7 linked regions of the Bombyx mori genome follow. The protein of the gene in region 1 binds, or shares a complex with, the protein of each later gene. Links are inferred from orthologs where the notes say so. Each region holds a gene or a part of one and is shown on either strand. Other genes may lie near its edges. The genes, in order: mrg, vacuolar protein sorting-associated protein 72 homolog, PHD finger protein 12, ruvB-like helicase 1, transcription-associated protein 1, histone acetyltransferase Tip60 and bromodomain-containing protein 8.

What was found.
Region 2: mrg (region 1) and vacuolar protein sorting-associated protein 72 homolog share a complex: the UniProt entries of both Homo sapiens proteins name them as parts of the nuA4 histone acetyltransferase complex. The link is inferred for Bombyx mori from reciprocal best matches to the Homo sapiens genes MORF4L1 and VPS72.
Region 3: the proteins of mrg (region 1) and PHD finger protein 12 are in contact, whole or in part, in a cryo-EM structure (PDB 8BPA), measured with the Homo sapiens proteins. The link is inferred for Bombyx mori from reciprocal best matches to the Homo sapiens genes MORF4L1 and PHF12. Residues at the interface, in NP_996670.1 of Homo sapiens: Glu201, Lys204, Pro205, Leu207, Val208, Asp209, Trp211, Asp212, Tyr251, Ala252, Glu255, Val256, Gly259, Ile260, Glu262, Tyr263, Val266, Met267, Thr270, Gln271, Leu272, Leu273, Tyr274, Lys275, Arg278, Pro279, Tyr281, Ala282, Leu285, Arg304; in NP_001028733.1 of Homo sapiens: Cys62, Glu64, Gln81, Cys82, Asn84, Pro86, Pro204, Leu206, Arg207, Arg208, Pro209, Phe210, Leu212, Leu213, Ile214, Ala216, Ala217, Arg220, Asn221, Pro222, Thr223, Gln224, Phe225, Gln226, Leu227, Pro228, Glu230, Leu231, Thr232, Thr330.
Region 4: mrg (region 1) and ruvB-like helicase 1 share a complex: the UniProt entries of both Homo sapiens proteins name them as parts of the nuA4 histone acetyltransferase complex. The link is inferred for Bombyx mori from reciprocal best matches to the Homo sapiens genes MORF4L1 and RUVBL1.
Region 5: mrg (region 1) and transcription-associated protein 1 share a complex: the UniProt entries of both Homo sapiens proteins name them as parts of the nuA4 histone acetyltransferase complex. The link is inferred for Bombyx mori from reciprocal best matches to the Homo sapiens genes MORF4L1 and TRRAP.
Region 6: mrg (region 1) and histone acetyltransferase Tip60 share a complex: the UniProt entries of both Homo sapiens proteins name them as parts of the nuA4 histone acetyltransferase complex. The link is inferred for Bombyx mori from reciprocal best matches to the Homo sapiens genes MORF4L1 and KAT5.
Region 7: mrg (region 1) and bromodomain-containing protein 8 share a complex: the UniProt entries of both Homo sapiens proteins name them as parts of the nuA4 histone acetyltransferase complex. The link is inferred for Bombyx mori from reciprocal best matches to the Homo sapiens genes MORF4L1 and BRD8.

What each region holds. Positions count from the first base shown.
Region 1 is NC_085127.1:11,194,657-11,198,604, forward strand, and holds the start of mrg (mortality factor 4-like), read left to right. Parts: upstream 1-1,148; 5' UTR 1,149-1,175; coding exon 1,176-1,203; intron 1,204-1,319; coding exon 1,320-1,437; intron 1,438-2,062; coding exon 2,063-2,175; intron 2,176-2,727; coding exon 2,728-2,823; intron 2,824-3,671; coding exon 3,672-3,762; intron 3,763-3,792; exon of another isoform or gene 3,793-3,948. UniProt on the Homo sapiens protein: Component of the NuA4 histone acetyltransferase (HAT) complex which is involved in transcriptional activation of select genes principally by acetylation of nucleosomal histones H4 and H2A.
Region 2 is NC_085112.1:12,275,051-12,277,448, forward strand, and holds part of vacuolar protein sorting-associated protein 72 homolog, read left to right. Parts: intron 1-413; coding exon 414-489; intron 490-1,532; coding exon 1,533-1,636; intron 1,637-2,133; coding exon 2,134-2,287; intron 2,288-2,398. UniProt on the Homo sapiens protein: Deposition-and-exchange histone chaperone specific for H2AZ1, specifically chaperones H2AZ1 and deposits it into nucleosomes.
Region 3 is NC_085122.1:14,108,160-14,111,659, reverse strand, and holds part of PHD finger protein 12, read left to right. Parts: intron 1-393; coding exon 394-541; intron 542-2,714; coding exon 2,715-2,887; intron 2,888-3,359; coding exon 3,360-3,500.
Region 4 is NC_085128.1:12,881,644-12,885,868, reverse strand, and holds the end of ruvB-like helicase 1, read left to right. Parts: intron 1-46; coding exon 47-215; intron 216-334; coding exon 335-426; intron 427-516; coding exon 517-623; intron 624-939; coding exon 940-1,042; intron 1,043-2,254; coding exon 2,255-2,346; intron 2,347-2,977; coding exon 2,978-3,137; 3' UTR 3,138-3,725; downstream 3,726-4,225. Other genes in the region: uncharacterized protein LOC101739682, read right to left, coding at 4,005-4,225. UniProt on the Homo sapiens protein: Possesses single-stranded DNA-stimulated ATPase and ATP-dependent DNA helicase (3' to 5') activity; hexamerization is thought to be critical for ATP hydrolysis and adjacent subunits in the ring-like structure contribute to the ATPase activity.
Region 5 is NC_085110.1:5,834,481-5,837,980, forward strand, and holds part of transcription-associated protein 1, read left to right. Parts: intron 1-497; coding exon 498-713; intron 714-1,377; coding exon 1,378-1,866; intron 1,867-2,785; coding exon 2,786-2,950; intron 2,951-3,111; coding exon 3,112-3,243; intron 3,244-3,500. UniProt on the Homo sapiens protein: Adapter protein, which is found in various multiprotein chromatin complexes with histone acetyltransferase activity (HAT), which gives a specific tag for epigenetic transcription activation.
Region 6 is NC_085124.1:9,221,765-9,225,264, forward strand, and holds part of histone acetyltransferase Tip60, read left to right. Parts: coding exon 1-65; intron 66-1,763; coding exon 1,764-1,847; intron 1,848-3,437; coding exon 3,438-3,500. UniProt on the Homo sapiens protein: Catalytic subunit of the NuA4 histone acetyltransferase complex, a multiprotein complex involved in transcriptional activation of select genes principally by acetylation of nucleosomal histones H2A and H4.
Region 7 is NC_085117.1:1,939,524-1,943,554, reverse strand, and holds the start of bromodomain-containing protein 8, read left to right. Parts: upstream 1-1,231; 5' UTR 1,232-1,583; coding exon 1,584-1,768; intron 1,769-3,044; coding exon 3,045-3,225; intron 3,226-4,031. Other genes in the region: uncharacterized protein LOC101740762, read left to right, coding at 1-35. UniProt on the Homo sapiens protein: May act as a coactivator during transcriptional activation by hormone-activated nuclear receptors (NR). Isoform 2 stimulates transcriptional activation by AR/DHTR, ESR1/NR3A1, RXRA/NR2B1 and THRB/ERBA2.

The sequences.
Region 1 (3,948 bases):
GAACTACTATTCAACAGTGGCTACTGTGATCTGGAATTGCCGATGCAATAGCCACTTCTTCCTACACGAGTAGTAGATAGCCGTGTCATTTGCGAAAAGCGCTAGATGGGTCTCCGCAGACCGGGGTATATCATTGATATACAAACTACATAATAACGGGGAGAGCGCGGAGCCTTGTGGGACTCTGGCCGTCAGATGACGGGGGCGAGAGTGAGCTCCCTCTACTCAATATCGAAACGAACAATTCAACAAGTCTCGTATGATGAGCACGAGTCTGTAGTCCCATGTTATACAGTTTGTATATGAAACCGCTAATTTTTGTTGAAGTGAAAACAACGCAAAAAAAATGTGATGACAGTATACTATGCTGCGTTCCGTTTTAAATAGTAACCAATATATCTAACTATGAAGGAACAGCTTCGCTATATTGACATCCGACTTTACAGTACTCGCAGTGCAAGCTAGAACATAACCGAAGGGTGGTAGTTTATGGCGCTGTTTTTTAAATCTTTCCACTTGCTTCTATGGCGCCAGCTTAATTATATTCCTTTCAGCAGACACTTTTTATTATACTGAGATGGTACTTCTTAGTTCTACCCTCCATATGTGTAGCAAAGACTAGATAAAACTTTAATATAATGCTGCGTAATACAAATACAGAGAACACACATAGACAAATTGAATAGTTCCAGAATTTCAATTAATGATCGGAACATAGCCTTCACTGCCATCTAGTACATTTCAGTTTGTTTAAAACTGCTGTGTTCATATCATTTGCACTTTCTATACTAGCGATATTTCGGTGAGTCTTCGAACAATATCTTACCGTTTAGAGGTGGAGACTTTTTCAACTTGTCCTCTATACAAAATGATATTCCTTAGTTCTATCCTCCATGGCTACACAGCTACCTAAGGCAAAACTGACTAGTTAACAAGGATGCCCATTTTCGCCCTAAATTTATATAGCTTAATATGTATAAAGCAGGTTAAAATATAATTCTATAGTTAATTATTATTGTAAATTAACTTTATTTTCATTTTATGTGTAACACAGGAAACATTTGGCAGTATGGTCTTTTACCTTCGCCTTTCCTCTTTTGTAAAAATTAAACGACTCAAGTCACAAGTCAGTCAGCCATTTGTAAACTGTAAACAAATAATCACATTATGTAGCAATGGCACCAAAGTTAAAATTTGCTGAAGGTAAATTATTTTTAGTACACTATTCAGTATAAATGTTTAGAATCAATTAATTTATTTGAAAATATTTATCGGTTTATTTACCGTAATTTATTTCAATGCAAATTCCTTAATTTCAGGTGAAAAAGTGCTATGTTTCCACGGACCGCTAATTTATGAAGCAAAATGTTTAAAAAGCTCAGTTACAAAGGACAAACACGTGAGGTATCTTATTCATTACGCGGGATGGAACAAAAAGTAAGTCATTTGGATGTCAGATTTGACGAAAATTAAGACAAGTAATGTAAACGAAATTTGTTGAACGGTGACCGATTGAATCACGAAGACTTGAAAGGATTCAATAGTAATTAGTATCTACCATTAAAGTATGTACTATTATTTTATAAAAACCTGCAAGCTATACATTATAATTCATACAATAAAGCTTAAGTTAAGAAATTTAGTGATATTCACAGTATTTTATTTTGCTGTTCAAAATTATAATCATATAGCACCACACCAAAAATTTTATTGGTTAATGTTAAACTGTTAAACAATAATATATTATAACATTGATCAATAATAACACAAGAACACATGAAGTTCAAAACTACACAAGATTAAAAACTCACCGACTTAAAAACAAATTAAAGGATTGCATCAAAATATTTTAACAATAAAATTAAAAGTATTTTATAGAAATCTAACTTAATAGTCTTAATACTTATAATAAAATTACAGTGGACTGAATCCATACCACTAAAATTATTAGTAGATTAATAAACATTAAATTTAAACCAAATTTATTTAGCTGTATGATATGAAAAACTACTGAAAAGAGAAATACAAATTGTATATTATAAATGTCTTAATGTTATTTCAGTTGGGATGAATGGGTGCCTGAAAGCCGTGTTCTGAAGTACAATGAAGCAAATGTACAAAGGCAGAAAGAAGTCCAAAGAGCTCATTCCGCACAACCAACTAAAACTAAGAAAAGTTAGTAATTTACACCGTTTTCTAAGTTACATTTAAAAATATTTGGAACCATGGAAATATTTGGTTTTATAATTAAAAGAAATAATACCATTAAACACTGGATTGTCTCTTGCAATTCTAGAGGGTGGTGCAAGTATAAGGATTAAAAATCAGTTGATTTGTACATATTTTATGAATTTGAAAAATACTTTAAATTTTTATATATAGGAAAACAAATCAGATTTAGAATCTGTATGAACTAGTATAAGATATTGTTGTTACTTTGATTTATTTAAATTAACATTTTCTTAGTTTTGCGAGTTTGACAGTAAAGTAGACATGATAAGAAAAAGTCTGTTCTTATTTTTATTAGTTCATCCTGGCATTTTATGTACTGTCTATACTTTTATAGTTTTTGTGATAGTTACAAATGTAAAAATATGACAACAGGTGATTTATAGTTTTAATGGGTATTACTTCTTGATTTTGCAATAGATTCTTGAAAATTAAATAAACCAATATGATCATTCTGTACAACAGTCTAAAAATCTGCAATATTAAATACAATTGCAGCTCCCGCAAAGGGTAGGAAATCTGATGCAGCAGTTGCTGCAACTACTCCAGCTAGAGAAGAATCAAGAGCATCTACCCCTGCGAGTAGTACTCAAGGTATTTTTGTTATCATTAACAGAAGCTTGCTAAGGTTATTAGATTTGGAAGCCTAAAAATTCAAGATGAATAAGAAGTCGATAGCTATAGTATTATGGTGTTTTTATTGATGTATCAAAGCTATGGACACCAGGAACCTAATGCTTTCCAATTAGTGTTTTTTTTTTTTTTATTTGTGGATGAAAGTCAGCAAAAGGTAACTTAAAAAAATTAGCAATTCTAAAGTATGTTACTTCTGTTTAGCAAATTATTAAAGTGTGTCAGTTTTGTCTCGCCTTAGTTTTTGTTTAAAATAAAATTGGATCTAATCACAACGAGGAGAAGCTGGGATGGATTTTGAAGGATTCCTTTTACTCACATTAAAATTTTCTCTGGAATGGCCTGCTTATTTCGAACCATATGTTTTGACAAACAAAGCGATGTTCACACTGTTTCACTTTATTGTTATTATTATTATATTTTATTATTTAATTATGAACTTAAGAACATGTGTTGGGTAACAAAGCAGTTCACTGTGTGTGTGTCTTTATACAACCCGCACTTAGAAATCCTTTTATTAAAAGAAGAACAGATATCCTCACTAATACAGTTACGAAGCAGCTTGTTGCTGATTTAAAGGATAGGACAGCTGTCATAAGAATGCAATTCAGTTCTCGACCCACTAAAAAGATGTATTCCAACAGGTAGTTGGTTTATTAACGCAAATAAAAAAAAAAAAAAATTATAATGACAAAACAAGTAGGTATTTAGGAAAATGAGTTCCCATTGTAAATATAGTTGGCATTCAGTGTGAGATCCAATTTAAATTTTATCTCTCATTAAAACTCATGTTAATGTTTTCTTTTCAGTAAAAGAGTCCGATAGTACACCAGCTCCCGCAAAAACAACTAAAACTCAGAGTAAAGATACACCTGCTGATTCTGGATCTGATCAACCTAAGTATGTCTGTCCGTATGTTTAACACACACTCACACGCATATTGCAATCTTTTGGAACCTACTCATGTTCCTACACAGGTTCACCTACTTAAGTTCATGCTTATATATAAAAGTTGATAATTATATATGTGTACCGCTTTAACATTCCATACAATTTTGGGGTTCAAAAATAGTCGTCTAATAATGG
Region 2 (2,398 bases), on another chromosome or scaffold:
CCACCAGCTTTTTTAATTCTGTAGGATCAACTAATCAACTAACATAAAATGGACCAACGACACATATTTTTTTTTATTGCTTAGGCTGGTGGACTAGCTCACAGCCTACCTGGTGTTAAGTGGTTACTGCAGCCCATAGACAGCTACAACGTAAATACGGTACCCACCTTGAGAAATAAATTCTAAGGTCTCAGTGTAGTTACAACGGCTGCCCCACCCTTCAAACCGAAACGCATTACTGCTTCACGGCAGAAATAGGCAGCGTGGTGGTACCTACCCGTGCGGCCTCGCAAGAGGTCCTACCACCAGTATAAGTAAGTATATACGGATGTAAAATATAAACTAATTTAGTTGTATGTATTGTTGTATGTTGTAGTTTCATAGTATTTTAATTATATTTGTTGTGTTTTCAGAACGTTTTGAACAAATCGAACTAGAACGCAAGAAGATTAGACCGATCAAAAAGACTATAACTGGACCCGTACTAAAGTAAGTACTCATTTAAATATATTGATATATATGTCGAGCGGTGAAAGGCTTATTTGGTTTAAGCGACATTTTTGCAACTTTACAGTAGAGCCATTTAAAGTTTAAAATTTATAAAAAACTAGCCGCACTCGCCCGCTTCGCTGCGCATTTAAAATTAACATTATTATTTATTGTCATTATTATTAGAGAGTCCAACCATATCGACGCTTGAAAGGCAAACGTGACTAAGCGACAATGCGTGAACTTTACAGTAGACTAATTTAAAGTTGAAATACCTGAAAAAAAAATATATTTTAACGAATCTAGCTGTAGGATTAAAATGATTTTAATAGACCTAGAAATATATATTTTTTGTGCATCGAATATGGCTATTGCCTATCATTTATGTACAAAGCAGTTATTGTCGCTTAGTCACGTTTGCCTTTCAAGCGTCGATATAAATACTAGCTTATCCAATAAGTACATGTACTTTCTACATGGATACAAAGTTTCAAGTCAATAGGATGCATGGTTCAGTAGGAACATCCGTAAAAATCACTGTAGATTTATATATTAGTATAGATATAAGAAAAGACTTCTTCAGCTATTTGATTGGAGTAGACTTAATTGAAGTTCAATTAAAAATATGGAATTGTTGAAGCTGATACCAAATAAACCACACCTTTAATTACAAAGATAAATGTCGGGTAGTAAGCGAAATGTCGCTTAAACCAAATTGGCTTTCACCCCTCGATGTGACATATTAACACTATTAGTTCAACTTTTTTTTTATGGCTCACATTGTTGGACTAGCTCACAGCCGACCTGGTGTTAAATGGTTACTGGAGCCCATAGACATCTACGACGTAAATGCCGCCACATACCTTGAGATATAAGCTCTGAGGTCTCAAGTATAGTTACAACGGCTGCCTGGCCCTTCGAACCGAAACGCATTACTGCTTCACGGCAGAAATAGGCAGGGTGGTGGTACCTACCCGCGAGGACTCACAAGAGGTCCTACCATCAGTAAACTTTTAACTTTCATTATGCAATTAATTTCATAGGTACCATTCATTTGCTGTGCCCGTGTGTCTCAAACGTGACGAAGTAGATAACAGTGCGCCGCCACTGGACATAAGCATAACTGATAACATAAAAAATGAAGACGGTAAGATTATTTATTATTTACACTGTTTTATGAACCCTAATGATCATATACCGATTTCAATAATACTTCAACAATTTTATTGTAGAAAATGATGAACTATCTATCTATTTCATATTCAGTATTAAAAGTATAAGAATATTGTGAGTGAAAAAAATCATAACCCAAAATCTAGTAAACAAATGGCAATAATATAGGCATTATTATGAGTTCTTAATATGAATTTCTTTTTTTTAAGACCTTAATTTGAAATAGCAATAAATCCATTTAATACAAATAAACAAATAATATTTTAAAGTGGATTGTAGATAAAAAAAAAAAGTTTAAAATTAATTCGTAAATCGTGATTTAGATAACTATAATAAATAAATAAATGCTTTAATAGCAAACCGAACTTCCGATCTAGCACATGAAGCTTTCTAATGACAGTATTATAATTTATTTATTTATTACAACACTGTACATAAATAATAAAATTCATGAGACAAACTTAATTGCAGGTGTATTAACACAAGCCGATTTGGATGCTCCTGATGAGAAAATCGATACAGATCGAGTTGAGACAAAGGAAGAGCAGACCGAAGACCTTCAAACTAAAATGGAGATAGACGTGATCGGACCTGATGATGAAATTAAAATTGAAAGCGTTAATATGTATGTAGTGATTTTTTTTATTGCTTAGATGGGTGGACAAGCTCACAGCCCACCTGGTGTTAAGTGGTTACTGGAGCCCATAGACATCTACAGCGTAAATACGCCACCCAC
Region 3 (3,500 bases), on another chromosome or scaffold:
AAGGGTGGGGCAACTGTTGTACTGTAAAAATTGAGGCCTTAGATCTTATATCTCGAGGAAGGTGGCATTATGTTGTTGATGAGCTCCGGTAACCCTTTAACACGAGGCGGGTCGTAAGCTTGTCCATCCATACAAGGAATTATAACATACAACATACATCTACATTAAGCAAAAAATAATTAAAATATCATACTCATTGGAGTCACTAGCCACCATGAGTAGACATCTGTCGCCCCTTTTCTGAAGGAGCTATCTTTGAATGTTCAGAAGCTAGAGCCGGGCTTCAGTGCGAACATTAATGTTGATGCAAAGCTCGTTATTTCAACGCGGCTCTGACACCGCCGAAGTGTGTGTGGGGACGCCGTGGTGGTAACACAAGCTCGTGGTGTACAGCGCGGGGCCGGGCGACTCCCTGGGCCGGCCGGTGCCCATGCGGCTGTCGTCGCTGACCGTGGGCTCGGACAGCGGCTGTGACGTCACACTCGACCCCGCCCTTTGCCGGTGCGTCTCCCGGAACCACGCCGTTATATTCATGGACGAGGTCAGTTAAATACTTTGCTTTTGTTCAAATATTAATGACGCCACTCTACGCAGCACGAAGAAATCTCCCTGGCCGAACACAACCGGCGCCCCCCTTCCACGTCCCGCTCGGCCCTGGATGTCAGAAATCTTCGTATTTTCGTCTTTATAATAACCGGCAAATTTCTTGAGCATTTGTTGACGTAGTGGGGGTAAGTTTGCGCATGGTACACTCACGTGCAAAAACATTACTTACTCTGCGTCATAATGCTATTAAATTATTAAAATCAACATATGTATTTATTTATATATTTATTAGAACATCAACAAAACATATAGGTTAATAATTGTAATAATTTAATCTTGGGGTAAAATAGATATTCCTTCTATTAAGTCAAAACTAGAGCTGTTGCCAGGTCTTGGTTCAGTTAAAGCGAAGCTGGTATTTGTAATTTTTTTTTCGTTATCATAATCTTGACCATCATCATCATCACTGTTTTCATCACCCGAGTCGCTATCATCGTGATGAGTCGACATAGGGCTCATCGGCGTAGTTTACAACTCTGTCGATTCGGTCTTCTTTTTTGTCTATAATTAATTATTTTTTGAAGATATTCGATTCGTAGTAATCGAATGTTACTTTTTTCATTTACCAGCTTCCGATTATTTTCTGTTCTTTTTTTCCATCTGAAGCCTAGCTCTTTCATAATTCGTCGTAAGCTTCATTCCGAGCCATTAAAATTTATATCTTCTTTAAATTCTTCGAAGCCTTTCTACGGTACGGAGTTTCGCTGCTTGTTATGTAGTTATTATGATTACATCTTTTTATTACAGATTGAACGAAACTATCCATTCCGGTAACTTTCTTCTTCCCTGATCTTTTCTTACCCGGAGTCCGAAACACTGCGAGCAAGCCAGAGCCTTTAGCTTCGTTAATAATACACCTAACAGTACTCACTGATGTTTTTGTTGCTTCCGAAGTCTGTTTTAATTTTTCCATATCATTCTTCCCCTGTTTTATAATGAAGCAATATACGTCGTACACAAATTTTCTACCCTTTCTTTTAAGTACTACACAAGTTTGTCGCGGCATAGTGTATTTTTTATAAAAAATCAACAAATACTCAACAAATAGCAATGGCAACAAAGTCAACAAGCAATTATAACAAAATTTATTAACGATTAATAACGATAGACTTTTCACTGTACGCAAGCGTACTTTTGGGAGCAAGCGGAACGAGGGCGCGGTGCGGGACGCAAGGTTCGACTGATCTACCAATAACGCGCTCGATACGATTTCCCCTGCCGTCGCGCCTCACCCTCACCACCAAAGTGATCTAAAATTCGGTTCTGCGCAGTCAAGGTCATTTGCTCAAGAAGTTTGCCGGTTACTATATCAAACGTATCTAGCGATGCACCGGTGTTCGAATCTCGCGGCGGGTACTAATTTTTGTAATGAAATACGTACTTAACTAATGTTCACGATTGACTTCCACGGTGAAGGAATAACATCGTGTAATATAAAATCAAACCCGCATAATTATAATTTGCGTAATTACTGGTGATAGGACCTCTTGTGAGTCCGCACGGGTAGTTACCACCACCCTGCCTATTTCTACCGTGAAGCAGTAATGCATTTCGGTTTGAAGGGTGGGGCAGCCGTTGTACTGTTTCAAGTGAGGCCTTAGAACTCATGTCTTAAGGTGGCTGGCAGCTACGTTGTAGATGTCTATGCGCTCCGATAACCAATCAAAACCAGGTTGGATGTGAGCTAGTCCGCCCATCTAAAAAAAAAAAATGTGTGCGTGTACTAGTGTACACACGTAAGAAGTGAAACTTATTTATGGCCTTATTTTTCGAAAAATGATCTACATGCAACTTTCTAGAAATTGGTTAAATAAAGTTAAATTAGATAAAGTTTAAACAAAAGGATTTTATTATCATAGACATGAATACAAAAAAGTTAAATTAGATAAAGTTTAAACAAAAGGATTTTATTATCATAGACATGAATACAAAACAGATGGCGCGTAACGGAAAAATGTGACGCGTAACCGAAAAATGTGACGGTAAATTTTTTTCCAACGCCGATAAGGAAGTTTCACTTCAAAAAAAAGGAAGACTATATACTGGAAATTCAATATGGGTACTCATAAAGCCTTGTGCTTTTATTAACATCACATGTTGTTTTACAGGTGAGCGGACACTTCGAGCTGATCAACTACTCCGAGTTCGGCAGTCGCGTTAACGGCGTGCTGTACACGTGCGACCCCCTCGCCGCCGCCCCCGCCCCCACCCCCGCGGCGGACGACGCTCTGCCGCGCGCGCTTCGAGATGTCGTCAAAGAGAAGGACTCCCCGCTCGACAGGTGCCAAATTTTTTTCTGTGTCTAATAATAACTGAAATTCATGTTATTTACGACTGACCGGCTGCCGTACCTAGACTGCCGATGGCTTCGTCCTTGGGGTAGGCCGCGCGTCTGGCTGCAATGTTGACTGCCCAGGTTCTGACCTCGGGGGAGATCGGACTCTTGGTCAAGAGTGTACCTGAATCGTTTAGTGGTTATTGGCCCTAAATTCCATTTCTTAAATCCGTGGTCTGCTCCCAATATCTGTGGATCATTCAGCCTAACATACCCCGTACGCCCCCTAGGGAAGGGGACCTTGTAAGAAGGGGTCTAAAAAAGGGGCACTGGGCCCAGGGACAACTAGCACTTTAATGGTTGCATTTCTACTGCCGTTACGTTTGTTTTTTTATTGCTTAAAAAAAGGCTAGTAACAAAAGACAACCGCTCTGTTCTGTCATCCATAACATGTTATATATCTCACGCATTGTTACAGGATAAAAGGTGACATCACGGAGCCCACGTCGTGGTGCTCGGCGTGCTCGTGCGGCGCGGGCGCGGGGGCGGGGGCGGGTGCGGGCGCGGGCGCGGCGGCGGGCGCGTGGGAGGGCTCGGCGCTGGTGCCGCACGGCGCGCT
Region 4 (4,225 bases), on another chromosome or scaffold:
TTAATCCCCTCTTTGGATGATAATCAACTTTGAACTTGTTTCCTAGGCTGAAGAATATGTTCCGCTACCCAAAGGTGATGTACACAAAAAGAAAGAAGTTGTACAAGATGTAACCTTACACGATTTGGATTGTGCTAATGCAAGACCGCAGGGAGGTCATGACATTATGTCTATGATGGGACAACTCATGAAACCAAAGAAGACTGAAATAACAGGTGTGTTACTTTATAATGTTTAGAAGTGGTATCTGAAAAAGTATAATTCTTAATTAAAAAAAAGGTCAATTGCTAACTCTCGTTCTTTCTGAGGTATTTTACTTTTTGTTGTGTTTCAGATAAACTTCGAAAAGAGATCAATAAAGTTGTGAACAAATACATAGATCAAGGGATTGCAGAACTGGTTCCTGGTGTGCTATTCATTGATGAGGTAGGTACACATATATACTGAATAAAAGTGATTAAAGCTATTGATATATTTTTTTTGCATTAGATAAATAACAAAACTTATTTACTTCAGGTACACATGCTGGACATTGAAACTTTCACATACCTACATCGAGCGTTGGAGTCCGCGATAGCACCAATTGTTATATTTGCTACAAACAGAGGGCGTTGTCAAATCAGGTAAATTTTAAGACTTACTATTGATTATTTATCAAACTTAAGTATTCATTGGCAGTGGTCAGTGACCCTTAATACTTTATCACGATGTCCGACCTTATCGTTTTCCGTGTGCATAGTAAATAAATATGTATGCTGTTATTAATTAATTAATTTATTTTCAAATTAATAAATGACAAAATGTTGAATGTCTATGAATATGATTCTAATTTTTTTTTTTTGTTAGTTATTTACATTTTTGGTACAATTAGTGGCGCGTAGCATTTCACTCTTACTGCAATTTTAATAACCCTAATTTATTAATTTGTGTGTTTTCCAGAGGGACAGAAGACATTGTATCACCACACGGCATTCCACTAGATCTATTAGATAGGTTATTAATAATACGCACTCTCCCGTATAACAAAGCAGAACTTTTACAGGTATGTTTCTGTATTAGCCTTAACCGTTTTAATTGTTTTTAAATTATAATTTTAGAACATTATTTTTATAGTTAGTGACTGCTTCATGCTAAAAATAGTAGACGTACCTAACTATAATTATGCAAATTAGAATTTTTGTGGTGTTTGATTTATACCACACATTAATTGCATTGTAGATTTCGATTTGTTTAAGGCAGAAATATTAGGTGGTCAGTTCTGGCTCATCATAAGGCACCTGAGGCCATCTTTTTTAACTTTCGTTGACTGCGTAACAACTGGATGAGATATTATGCTAAATAAATTACAAGAAATATGAATGATTGAATGAATTTAGAAATGTGAATGATAAAGGACAATGCCCATATTATTATTAGTATGGAGCTGAAAGACAACAATGCCCTGCAAGGCCCAAATTGCAGCTCTATGCCATATGATAGATTTTTAACAGTATTTATATGATATCTAGATTTAATGTCATATAAAGCACAGGTTCAAAAGATATTGGACATTAAACATGATAACTTCCTAGTGGTTTTTTATCCATTTTATCGCTTACAGACTACATTGCTGTTAGTTTTTCACTAGGAACTTCATGATCATCACATAAGCTAAGCCAGATCAGTGTTCTTTTAAATACTTATCTGTATGCTATCTGTCTATGCGCACAAAAACTACCAAAAAAAGAAAGGAAATCGGTCAACGAGCACTACTCCGACCGCACCGTCACTTCTCTCGCAGCAACCTTACGCACAACACCTGTGTACCTGTATTATTGTCACGGCCGTTATTTCAAATATAATTTGGAAGGAAAAATAAAATATTAATTTCGTCTGTACACCACTGCTTGCCTCCTCTTCCTCGCCAATACTATCAAATAAACATGTCAGTTATTTGGAAATATCTAGTTTGTCTCCATTGTATAGTGTCAACCAGACCGTAATAAATAAAGCATGAATTAATGATTAAAAAAACGATGATACGTACTGCAATGTCAATAAGAAGTCTTATTTTTTTAAATTTTTTTATCCAGTGCTTCATATGATTTAAAATTAACAACATAATTCTAGTTTTTATTTATTAGAGCAATTTTGTAATATATGTACTTTAACTGGGCGTTTCTGGGGCACAAATGGGTATTGTCCTTTGAACTAACAAACAACTATAAGTTGCAAGTGCCTATTTTTATATCGTATAAATCGTGTTTTGTTAAAGATATTAAAGCTCCGTGCGGTCACAGAAGGAATTTCAATCGAGGACGAAGCTTTGTCGGCGCTCTCTGAGATTGGAGCTCACACGACGCTCAGGTTAATGAACATTTGTATTTTCCGTGGTTTTCGTTAGTCTTCATCATGATGGCTTATTAACATGCCATATAATAACAATAAAAGTGATTTATTTTATCCCTATATATGTATACAGGATGTTAAGCAAAAGTATTATAGTAACAATATTGGTAGATAGTAGATGGTGGACGAGCGCACAGCTCATCTGGTGTTAAGTGGTTACTGGAGCCCATAGACATCTACGACGTAAATACGCCACCCACCTTGGGATATAAGTTTTAAGATCTCAGTATAGTTACAACGGCTGCCCTACCCTTCAAACCGAAACGCCTTTACGGCAGAAATAGGCAGGACGGTGTTACCTACCCGCGCGGACTCACAAGAGGTCCTACCACCAGTAATTACGCAAATTATAATTTTGCGGGTCTGATTTTTATTACACGATGTTATTCCTTCACCGTGGAAGTCAATCGTGAACATTTGTTGAGTACGTACTTCAGTAGAAAAATTGGTACCCGCCTGCGAGATTCGAACACCGGTGCATCGCTCAACACGAATGCACCGGACGTCTTATCCTTTAGGCCACGACGCCTTCAAAATACTTGTTTATACGACTTATTGCAGGTACTTATGCTTTTACGATTTCTTACAGGTACGCAGTTCAGCTGCTAACTCCGGCGATGTTGGCCGCGCGAGCCGACGGCTGCCAGCGCATATCGCCGGCGCACGTGTCCTCGGTCCACACGCTGTTCCTTGACGCTAAAGCTTCAGCCAAAATCCTCACTCAACATTCCGATAAATACATGCAGTAAAAATAATACAAAAATATAGAGTAATTTGAATATCAGATAGATAGGATGCTTTTTTACGTTCATATCGATAATGTCAAACTGTCCATATATCAACTCACGCGCTGGTAACAGCAGAGCACGCACGTGCACGAGGTTTTCCTTCTGATTTACAACTTAGTAAAACTTGTTATCTTAAATCCTTGAATTTAAGATTAATGTAGCAAAATATTATTTTGACCAATGTTTGTTACAGTTTTAAAACGGTTACTTAAAAGGCAAAACAATCTTTTTAATTTTTTAAAATGATGTTAGTCTTTTCCAATGCAAATAATTATAGATCTATTCAATTAATTATAGAGTATACCGGTATTGTCTGGGAGTATGAGTATGTTTTTGGTGCTTAATATTTAATGAATCTTTAGACCGGTATTTTCTCTATACCTCTCGCCGTATTATTCATAAAACACATGTGATATTTACGTTTAGTATTTCATAATTCATATTTGTAAGGAAATGAAGAATGTTGCGTTAATTTGGAGTCAACCTTTATGTTTGTCGTATTAAATGTGAATTTAACAATAAATGAAACTGGATTTGTGTAATAAATAAGTTTTTTTTTTATTCATACAAAACGTCACCTATTCTAAATTTGTCTAGACAATCGTTATTTACATAATGGTTTTTTACTGTTCAGGCATATTCAGTCAACGTTGTTAATACTAAACAATTGGCATTATGACTCTAAGTGACAAAATTAATAACAATATGTTTTTAACAATACGCCGATTTGGTATTTCGTCCATGATATTTACAAGGAAATAATTTACAAATGTGTACCTATATGACTACTTAAATTACACGTCATGAAGACGTTTGTCCTACGGGTAACTACTTTTTCACTGTCGTAGTCGAACTGGGGGCTGCTGTCGACGTGGGAGGGGTAAAGGTAGGCAGGTCGACACGTAGGTCTTTGGGCGCGGCCGTGTGGTGGTACAGAGCCTCGAACTGCATCTCCTCAGGATACGAGTGCGAACGAATCTTGCGCTCGTCCCTCACGTTACTCGGATATACTATAACGATTTTCTCGCCGTCGCTTCGAAGTGCCACCG
Region 5 (3,500 bases), on another chromosome or scaffold:
GATCGGAAACGTGACCCACTGAGAAGATCCGGCGTGAAACTCAGTGGGCTGTGTCTGAGGGTAAATTTACTCGTCGAGCCATTCGTCGCAAGCAACGGATTCGACGACAACGATGACCACTTATTTATTATAAATGAAACCGTCGCTAAATGTGTTTTCACTTATCTATTAAAATATATAACTGTAGTATCAACAATACTTAAAGTTAGAGGTGGATAGAATGAATGATGCGCAAACAGTATTATGAATATTGACTAACTTGTATATTGAGTGCTAGGGAATCGTTTCTCTAAACGAAGCCAGGTTTGTAGTACTTACTGTTGGTTTCTAACATGACTTCTAACAAAAATAGAGTAATTGAATATTGTATTTTATTGGCTAGGTGGTGCGATGACCTCCGAACGGTGGACGACTGTGGGCTGTTGATGATGTATTTTATTATGCTGATAATGATCCTCCAGTGTCGCATTGTATGAAGTGTTGGGTTGCGTGGCCAGGGCTTGGTGCACAGCCGGCCGACGTCCCTGCACGACATGAAGGCGATAGTGAAGACGTGGCGCAACCGGCTGCCCGTGGTGGCGGACCCGCTGTCGCACTGGGGCGCCATCTTCACGTGGCGGCAGCACCACTACCAGTTCATCGCGTCGCACTACGACTCGCAGCCGGACCACGCCTCCAATCACAGCATGCTTGGCGTCCATGCCAGCGCTCAGGTCATTTTTTATTCCTTACTAGCTCTCTCCCGCGACTCCGTCCGCGTGGAATAGTTACTTTGGCATAACGCTAAATTTTACCCACCCACTTCATTTACGTAGAGCGTGAAAATATTTTTGAATTATAGAATGTTAAAGAGCTATTTAAACCCCTATTTTGAAACATCCTTTATTGGTGCTCCACTGAACGTGTCCGGTCTTACCGTGATGTTATATGGCCTATAGCCTTCCTCAATAAATGGGCTATTTAACACTCAGATTAAGGCGCTCAAACAAACAAACTCTTCAGCTTTGTAATATTTGTATAGATTATCTTAAAACAGAACATATCATATTTTTTATTTATTTATAGACTGCATGTTTACACACTTCATCTTAACACTCGAACGAGTAGGTACAAAGAGAGGTTAATTATACATAGTTTTCGGTTTAAATAATAGTATGGGTACTGCCGTTGTACCAATGGACACTTGAATTTTGTCTCAATCACAGTAACGGAATTTAAGTTAGGGTTTATTTGGACTATAGTTGCTGCTTAATCGTCCTATACAAAATGCAGTCATACAAAATGGTATGCAAATTCGAGTTTAAATTCATTAAATTCATACATACGTGCAAATCAAGATAAAAAAAATTAAATCATTATTTTTTTCTTTTCTTGCAGGCCATTATTCACTTTGCGAAAATAGCTAGAAAACATAACCTATCTGGAGTGTGTCTGGATTCCCTACACAGAATTTACACAATACCGAGCGTACCGATCGTTGACTGCTTCCAAAAGATAAGGCAACAAGTCAAATGTCACATTCAGATGTCATGGACCGAGGGCAAAGATGAGCTCCAGGAAGGATTGGATATGATCGAATCAACTAACTTCAAATATTTCACTAAAGAAATGACGGCCGAGTTTTATGCTTTCAAAGGATTACTTCTAGCGCAGCTGGGCCGCTCCGACGACGCGAACAAAGCGTTCGCCGCCGCGGTGCAGCTGCACGACACGCTCGTGAAGGCCTGGGCGCTGTGGGGCGACTACTTGGAACAGATATTCATCCGCGACCCGCGACAGATCTCCGTAGGCGTCTCCGCCATGACTTGCTTCCTGCACGCGTGTCGTCATCAAAATGAATCCAAGTCTAGAAAATATTGTGCCAAGGTAAACAACGAACACGACGTTATTAATGTTACACGCTGGGATTCGGGATAAATAAAATTCCACCGAAGTATAATTCAAAACTGTAATCAACACTTAGAAAACTTAAAACACTTAAAACTCTCAGTTCGCTTCTTTCGCTTCGCTTCAGGTGATCCGTTCGCTGTTTCGCTTCGAGTAGTTCTGATTACTGACTGACTGCGTGTTTTTTTTTTTTTTTTTTCCCTACCTATGCTGATAGCCTTGAGAGGCTATTTCAGCTTGCCCTAGCTTGTGTAGGTGAGCTCGCGGGGCTCAAACCGGAGAATTGCTAACACCGCCCTAGCAAGAGCAGTGCTTCGCAGAATCTACCACCGGATCGGAAGCGCGACCCACTGAGAAGATCCGGCGAGAAACTCAGTGGGCTGTGTCTGTGGGTTAATTCGCTCGTCGAGCCCTTCGTGGCAAGCGACGGGTTCGGCGAGGACGGTGACCGGTGCTTGTATTGCCTAAAAGCACCGTTAGTGGATCAGGAGGATCCGTGATGACGTGCTTTGGGCGACGTCGACGGTTTACCAAACGGTCTACAGGATCGGGTATGTAGTTTCCGGCGGCCACGACAAGAGGGTTCTCATGTCGTGCCGCCTTCTCAAAGTGGCGCAGCGATGCCGACTGTAGATACTTACTGATGACTGCGTGCAATCCCTGCAACGCTTTTATACTCGATACCACATCCCTAGAATTATCGAGAATAGTCCACACATCTCTAGTATTGTTTCCGCTATCTGACAATAGATGGCGATGGGCTTCTCGAGCGTTCTAGGGCTACTAGATCCTTCGATATTCGTTCGAATATTCGGCGATAGATGGCGTTACTCTTATCGGCGTAACATTAATATGATACATCGTCTCTTCAGGTTAAATAACCAAATCGTTGTTCTAGGTGTTATGGATGCTGAGTTTCGACGACGAAAAGAATAGTCTCGCAGAAGCATTAGATAAATACTCAGTCGGAGTCCCGCCTGTGCAGTGGCTGCCCTGGATACCGCAGCTGCTGGCCTGCCTCGTGCAGTACGACGGCAATGTTATACTCAACCTGCTCAGTCATGTGAGTACTCGCTTACTTATTGGTTTCGTAATATCGCCGCCGTCAAAGTCGAACTGATAAAGTTCAGTATATATGTATATAAGAAAACTTGTTATTTATTTTTATAGAAAGTTGAATATTGATTATATTGTTTGATGTTTTTTTTTAATTTTGTAACTCAGGTTGGTCGATTATATCCACAAGCCGTATACTTCCCAATCCGAACTCTGTACTTAACGTTGAAGATTGAGCAGCGAGAGCGTCACAAAACAGCCGAGAGCATTGCACATTTACCGCATCAACCTACCACGTCTGTAAGTAATTGCTAATAGAAATTCGAATTGCGTTGCATTTTATAGTAACATTTCCATCAAAACCACAGTTAAGTCTGCATAGTTAGAGTAGTTATCACCCGAGAAACTGCCCTGTGTTTCGTTTTCCGGGGATATCTATTGCCGTAAAGTATTCGAACTATTTGTATGTTTTTCACATTCTAAGTTGGGAGTGGTGACCTATTTTTATGGATTTTATGACCTGGTAACTAAGACCTTTAGATCAAGTCTTATTTTAA
Region 6 (3,500 bases), on another chromosome or scaffold:
ACATCGAGATGATAGAACTGGGACGGCACAGGATACGACCTTGGTACTTCGCGCCATACCCCCAGGTGAAATGCATTGTTAATTAATCGCTATCGGCTTTAAATATTTGTTAATTAATCGCTATCGGTTTTAAATATTATGCATTTTATAGAGAAGTCTGTTTTTCACTGTTGACCTCTGTGGGCTTCAAGAAGACCAGGTGTGCCGTAATTGTCTGTTGGACTAGAGCAGCGGCTTTCAACCTTTTTTAGCACTTCACATATTTAAATGCATAGTTTTTTTTTTTTATTGCCCTTGTAGGCAGACGAGCACACGGCCCACATGATGGTGAGTGGTTACCGTCGCCCATGGACTTCAGCAATGCCAGGGGCAGAGCCGAGCCGCTGCCTATCGCTTAATACTCTCCACAAGCCTCGTTTGAAGGACATGTCATAGCGCTCGGAAAAAAAACCGTGGAAGGGAGCTCATTCCATAGCCATAAATAATAGTTGTAGGTATATTTATATATGTTAACGGAAATGTATGTAATCCGTCATTGTATACAATTCTTAGGAAATGTATGTAATTCCTAAAATCGCACGGAAATGTGTGAAATAAATTATATTATACTTACACATTACACATTTCCTAGGAAATCTATACATTTCCTAAATAGCAATCGGAAATGTAAAACATTTAAGATATTGGTGGGTATGCGGGGACAGCGGGACGAGTCTTGCACTACGGTCAGTTGCCAACTTGCAATCCACTGGAACCTTCCAGGGACTTAAGAAGTGCCTTTGCAAGAAAAACTGTGCTACATCAAGATGTCTGTGTTTTAAAAATAAAGTATTATGTACTTCCAAATGCCACTCGAGCTTACCCTGCAAAAATAAATAGCTATATGGACTGACAAAGTATTATCATATAAAGATTTACTTTTATACTTTGACATTTATAATTATTTAATTATCAGACTGATTACTTGCCAAATGAAAATTTGATTTTATAAGAATAAATATAAGTTGATTTTGTGATACGTTAAAAGTTAATAGATAGTTGATTTTAGAAGTTTTAATTAGTAAGATAATATGAACATATTATTATTATTTTACGGTATGACTGTTACCCGATTGTCTCAGTAAGTGTTATATTAAAAAAATATTATTAACAACGCGTTTTATTACAGAAAGCATTTACTTTATACATTTCCTAATACGATATTGGAATTATATACAATTCCGAGGAAATTTATACATTTCCTAGGATATCTATGCATTAAATAGTTTTTCAAACAATATTTTATACATTTCCTAAATAGTATCGGAATTGTACACATTTCCTAGGATTTGTATACAATTCCTTGATTTCATACATTTCCGGTAACATATACATATTTATTAAATTAAATATTAATAATCTACTAAACAAAGTTGTAAAGTTAATATGTAGTAGACAATTATATATCTCCGTCATATATACCGCAGAGATGCAATTCCTTTGGGTAACCTTAGATAAAATTGTCATATTTGTAAATCTTGCGACATACTTGGTACACCACGATCCGATGGTTGAGAACCACTGAACTGGAGCAATAAAAACTCTTTTCGAGCTTAGTCATCTTTAGATATAATAATATATTAAAGCAGCTCAAAATACTTTTATTAGTGCTATCGAATTCTCAATGACTATTTATTTTATCAGCGGTAATAAAACTATGTTAATAAATAGTGGCATTAAATTTAAACTAGACATTTAATAATGAATTAAAATTATACTTTCAGGAAATGGTGAATCTCCCTTGCATATACATCTGTGAGTTCTGTTTGAAATATAGGAAAAGCAAAAAATGCCTCGAAAGACACTTGGTAAGAAACTTGTGTGTCGTTTTAATAACGATTAATCATATTGTATATATTAAAGTGTATTACCGGCATCGGGCTTCTTAAGGAACTTTAAAGCCTTCGTCAAACAGAACGCGTACTAAACGTCGCGCTCTTTTCATGTCACACAAATTGACTAGATGAGTCCAACGCTCCTTGACGCAACGCATTCGCCAAATCATAGTGCCTTTCGATAGCAGTGAGAAAATTTAAAAGTATTAAGAAATCGAGTAATTCAGATGTGGCATTGTATAAGCATGGGTATTTTCTAACTATTTATATATTTTTTTCGGGCATTATCTAGTATTTTAATACACATTCACTCAGACGCCAAAATAAAATTTGTAAAAAATTACAATGCCTGACGTCAAACGTCCTAACGCCGCGACAGAGCGCTGCGTACTTATAGCGCTGGGGCTCTGTTTGACGGTATGTTACCATAGTAGTACAACACATCTCGGCGTCATAGCGCGGCGTCAGTTTAGCGCTCTGACGCGCGCTAATTACGCGTTTAGAGTTCTGTTTGACGAAGCCTTAAACTTTTAATTAAATAAGTCTTCTGAAGTCATCGTGGCCTAGAGGATAAAACGTCCAGTGCATTTTATATCGAACGATGCGACAGTACCGGTGTTCGAATCCCCCAGGCAGATAACAATTTTTCTATTTTTTATTTAAATAAATTAACAAATGTTCACAAATGCATGATGTTGCATGTTGCACGATGAAGGAATAACAGCGTGTAATATAAAAAAAAACAAACGCGCAAATAAATTATTTTCGCAATTACTGATGGAAGGGCGTGTTGTAAGTCCGCACGTAAATAGTTACCATCACCCTTGAAGGGCTTGAAGGGTGGGGTAGTTTATTGTACTATAGAAAGAACTGAGACTTGAAACTCGTGTTTCAAGACGAGCATTTAGCTACATTGTAAAAAAACTGAAAACTTACATTTTACGTACTTGTGAATATTAGTGGTAGTCGAAATTTCGACTATAATTAATTGAAATTGTATATTTAAACATTATTATGGTTCTATTGTCAAACACATTAAACTTCTATAATATAATCACATATTTCGCCAAAACTACACTATAGATAAATATTAAAGGCAAAGAATATTAATCTTTTTATTATTTTATTGCTTAGATGGGTGGACGAGCTCACAGCCCACCTGATGTTAAGTGGTTACTGGAGCCCATGGACATCTACAACGTAAATGCGCCACCCACCTTGAGATATAAGTTCTACGGTTTCAGTATAGTTATATATATATCTATTCTCAAGTTGACCACAGATTTTAAACATTAACAAAAGTTTGACAAATGACAATAAAACAGAGTATATATTTTATACGTATGTGTTGTGTCAAATGCATGGTAGTGTGTGTAACGTTTTTATTTATTGATTTAATGTATTATGCATAATTAAAAAAAAAAGTATTATTCTTCACTCCTACTCTATATTCTCTTATAAATGTGGAAAATTTCATACTCCTCCGTCCGCGCAATTTTCGTAAAAATGGGTATAAGGTTTTTGCTCCACGTATTAATATATAGATGTAATTCTTATTTCCAGATCAAATGCAAACTAAAACATCCGCCGGGCAACGAGATTTACCGCAAGGGAAGCATATCGTTC
Region 7 (4,031 bases), on another chromosome or scaffold:
GGCAGAGGGGAAACTCGGCGGGACATAGCTCATAAAATTAACTAAAGAAAAACTAAGTTTCAAGTTACACACAAAATATATGTATCTAAAATTTGAGAGAAATTAATGTGAGATATTATTTTATTTTCCGGAATTCCTTAAAAATAATTAAAAAGTCGTTTGAATGCTGATAATTAATTTCGTGTGACTCGTTTCAGGCCTAAATGACAAACATGACCCTAAACGCATACTGGGAATAATAACCTATAAGGACTTTAAAAGATTAGATTTTTAATTGTGTCGAATCGGTAGGCGATTCTAAGGCTCACTTGGCACGCGATTATCATCCCTAACGCCCCACGACATAGACAACTCAGTGGATTGTGGAAAATAGTGGAAATATTTTTTTATTTTTTTATATCTTAGATGGGTGGACGAGCTCACAGCCCACCTGGTATCAAGTGGTTACTGGAGCCCATAGACATCCACAACGTAAATGCGCCACCCACCTTGAGATATAAGTTCTAAGGTCTCAAGTATAGTTACAACGGCTACCCCACCCTTCAAACCGAAACGCATTACTACTTCACGGCAGAAATAGGCAGGGTGGTGGTGCCTACCCGCGCGGACTCACAAGAGGTCCTACCACCAGTAATTACACAGATTATAATTTTGCGGGTTTCATTTTTATTACACGATGTTATTCCTTCACCGTGGAAATCAATCGTGAACATTTGTTGAGTACGTATTTCATTAGAAAAATTGGTACCCGCCTGCGGGATTCGAACACCGGTGCATTGCTCAACACGAATGCACCGGACGTCATATCCGTTAGGCCACGACGACTTCAAAAAATATGTCATAGATCTATCTTATTTAAAAAGTGTATTAGAGTCTAACTATCATAGATTTATACACTTAATATATTCGAGATAACTATACTGAGACCTTAGAACCTATATCTCAAGGTGGGTGGCGCATTTACCTTGTATGGGCTCCAGTAACCACTTAACGCCAGGTGAGCTGTGAGCTCATTCCCCCATCTAAGCAATAAATAAAAGAAATAATAATAATTGAACACGCCAACTAACAAGCCGCTGAACGTAACTTCTCGGGATCCTCCAAAAATTTCACTGAAAAAGTCTACAATGAAATGACAACCATTTTAATGAGATTATATATTTTCTTCCTATATCATCTCATCTTAATTGATTTCTTTTTCATTCCATTTCGTTTTCATTTCATTTGATTTCATTTCATGCCATGTTTTATATTAATCAACTTCATTTATATGTAAAATTATAATATGAAATAAAATATTATAATTTTACATATAAAAAAGTTTTCATTACAATTAAAATAAGACTTGACCCGAAGGTCTTGATAACCAGGTCATTAAATACTTTAAAAAAAATATATTTGTTTTGTATCATGTTTGACGTTTGTATCATAGAATAAACACTTATTAATTGTGTTCTAAACAGTTAAATAATAAAATAAAAATAATATACTTTCAAAACAGTAAATACACATTACATGGACAATTAAACAACTATAAATAGTTATGTAATCTCGAAACTCCATTTCCAAAACATAACCTCAAAATGAGCTCGATACAAGAGCGTCTTCAGCTCAAAAGAGTTCCTCTGGACACTTGGAATATACGTGAACAGCTATGCCTGGCCTCCGCCGTGGTCAGAAGCGGGGATCAGAACTGGATGTCGGTTTCCCGCGCTCTAAAGACCCTTGGCGAGCCAAACAGGCCTCCGGACTGGTATTCCCAAAAAAGGTTTTGTTTTTCTTTTATATCTACTATATAATTATTGATACAGGTTTGAAATAGCTTGCGATAGTGAAGTGGTGGCTGAGTTGATGAGAAACACATTCGTTTTTACACATTTATTTTTTATTTTCAAACCATTTTTGCATTATTCACCAATGAAAATTCCACCACGCTTTCCACGTTATTTGAACTCGATAAAACTTAAAATTATATTCAGTAGAGCTATTATAGTATTTAGTAGGCTATAATAGGTCAACACACACTCCTCTCTCTCTCATATCGTCATTCACACACTCCATCCATGTCTTCTTTGGTCAAGTTTTCCCCCTCTACCTTGCACTACAATTTCCATAAATCTCCTAGTCTCATGCATCTCCTCTCTACGCATAACATGTCGATACCACGTGAACTGTCCGCTCTTTAAGTCTTTCCACTCGCTAAAAGACACCCTCTATAACTTTGACAACATTAGGATTGGTTAAACACAGCTCTTATATTATATGGCGGGTGGCCCCAATAATTAAATGTTCAAAAGAAATGTTAATACAACATTTTGACAAAACAATAACACCGAGTTAAACAAAATAAAATGAGATCATTGTCAAAAGCCAATTGAATATTCAATATTATAAATAATTTATAAAAATATATTATCAAATAAACTAAAATAAGTAGCATATATAGCAATAAGTTTGTTCTACACACACTTATCACATTTTATTATTATTCTCATTATCCTCTCGCAGGTCTGCTGGAAGAGATTTCTCAAAGAAATAAGTAGTGCCTTTGTACATAATTTTCCTATTACTCTGTACTGTGTCTTGTTTTCTGTGTGTACATAAATAAATAAATAAAATAAATAATAAAATAGCACTAGCTTTAAAATAAAATCATTTAATGTAATTACACTTTGGAAAGAGTTCTGATATAATGGCATATAAAAAGAGTCTAACTAAGTATGTACCTTCTTTATTTAAAATCTATGAAAAAATTTAAATTTTGCAGATTGCTCCTTAAATCCCCAGTAAATTAATCCTATTCATAAAAAAATTAACAAAATTACAAATAACTTATTTGAAAGACACTAAAGCTCTAATTAATTATATTCATTCTATTATTTTAAATAGTTATATTGTTTATGAGCTTATTCAATCCATATCAAACTGCGTAGATGTCATGTCTTCCTCTGAAGCATTGGATAGCTGAATGATAATGAGATTTAGATCTACAAGAACTGTGGGCTCCGTTATCCGTATGTCATTAACACATTTCCATCCATCAGCTGTGCTGCACAATATGGAACGCTATTAGAACATGTGGAAACGCCGAAACGAAAAAAGAGAAACTCTGACGGTGGCGTGGAAACTCCACAGGAGAGTATATTGAAACGTTTAACCCAAGATCGGATAGCCGAGATCCAGAAGAATATTGCTGAAATGAGTCAACAACATGAAGTAATGAAGGTATTTAATTTTCAAGTGAAACTTCTTTCTTTCTTCTTTATGAGGGTAAAATTTTTACAGAACGTCACGCAGGTATGCAACGGAAGGACATCAAACTACTATTAAAATTAAGTACTTGTCAAATGTCAGTAGTAGTAGTTGTTGTATTTTTCCAACTGGAAAGGCAAATGTATCATATCATACAGCCTAATATTTTATTTTTTTGTGAAAAATGTTAATAGGAATTGAAATGAAATGAAAAGAATTTGGAACATAGCATGAAATTAAATTAGTCAATTCAATTGGCAAAATATTAGTCATCTACAATTTAGAAATCTAAGCATAATGTGAATGTCAACACTGAGGTTTGAGATTGACATTTGACAGACTTTTGGCGGGAACATATCTTCCTTTTTCCCTTCTTCTAAGTCTTGGAAATCTAAAGTTTTAGATTTGCATAAATATAAGTAAGACTTATAAATTAGTTCGCCAAAAAAGTTTCACTTCTGACATGTGTACTTTGTACGCACGCACTTTTTTTTTTTTATAAATCTCAAGCTTTTTATAAAACTTTAAGTGCTGTCAGAGTTGTTAAGTATTGGCTAATATCTGACCATTTAGTGACAGTTCGGTGTCAACATCAACATCAACTTTTAAAAGGTTTTATAGCCTAGTAATGAGAGTTTTAAGTCAAAGTCTTATTTTTACACACCAGTGCATCGCTACATACGAATGCACCGGACCTCTTATCCTTTAGGCCACGACGACTTCACTTTGACTCATAAATATAAGCTAGTAATATATCTTTCTTTACCTTTGTACCACAG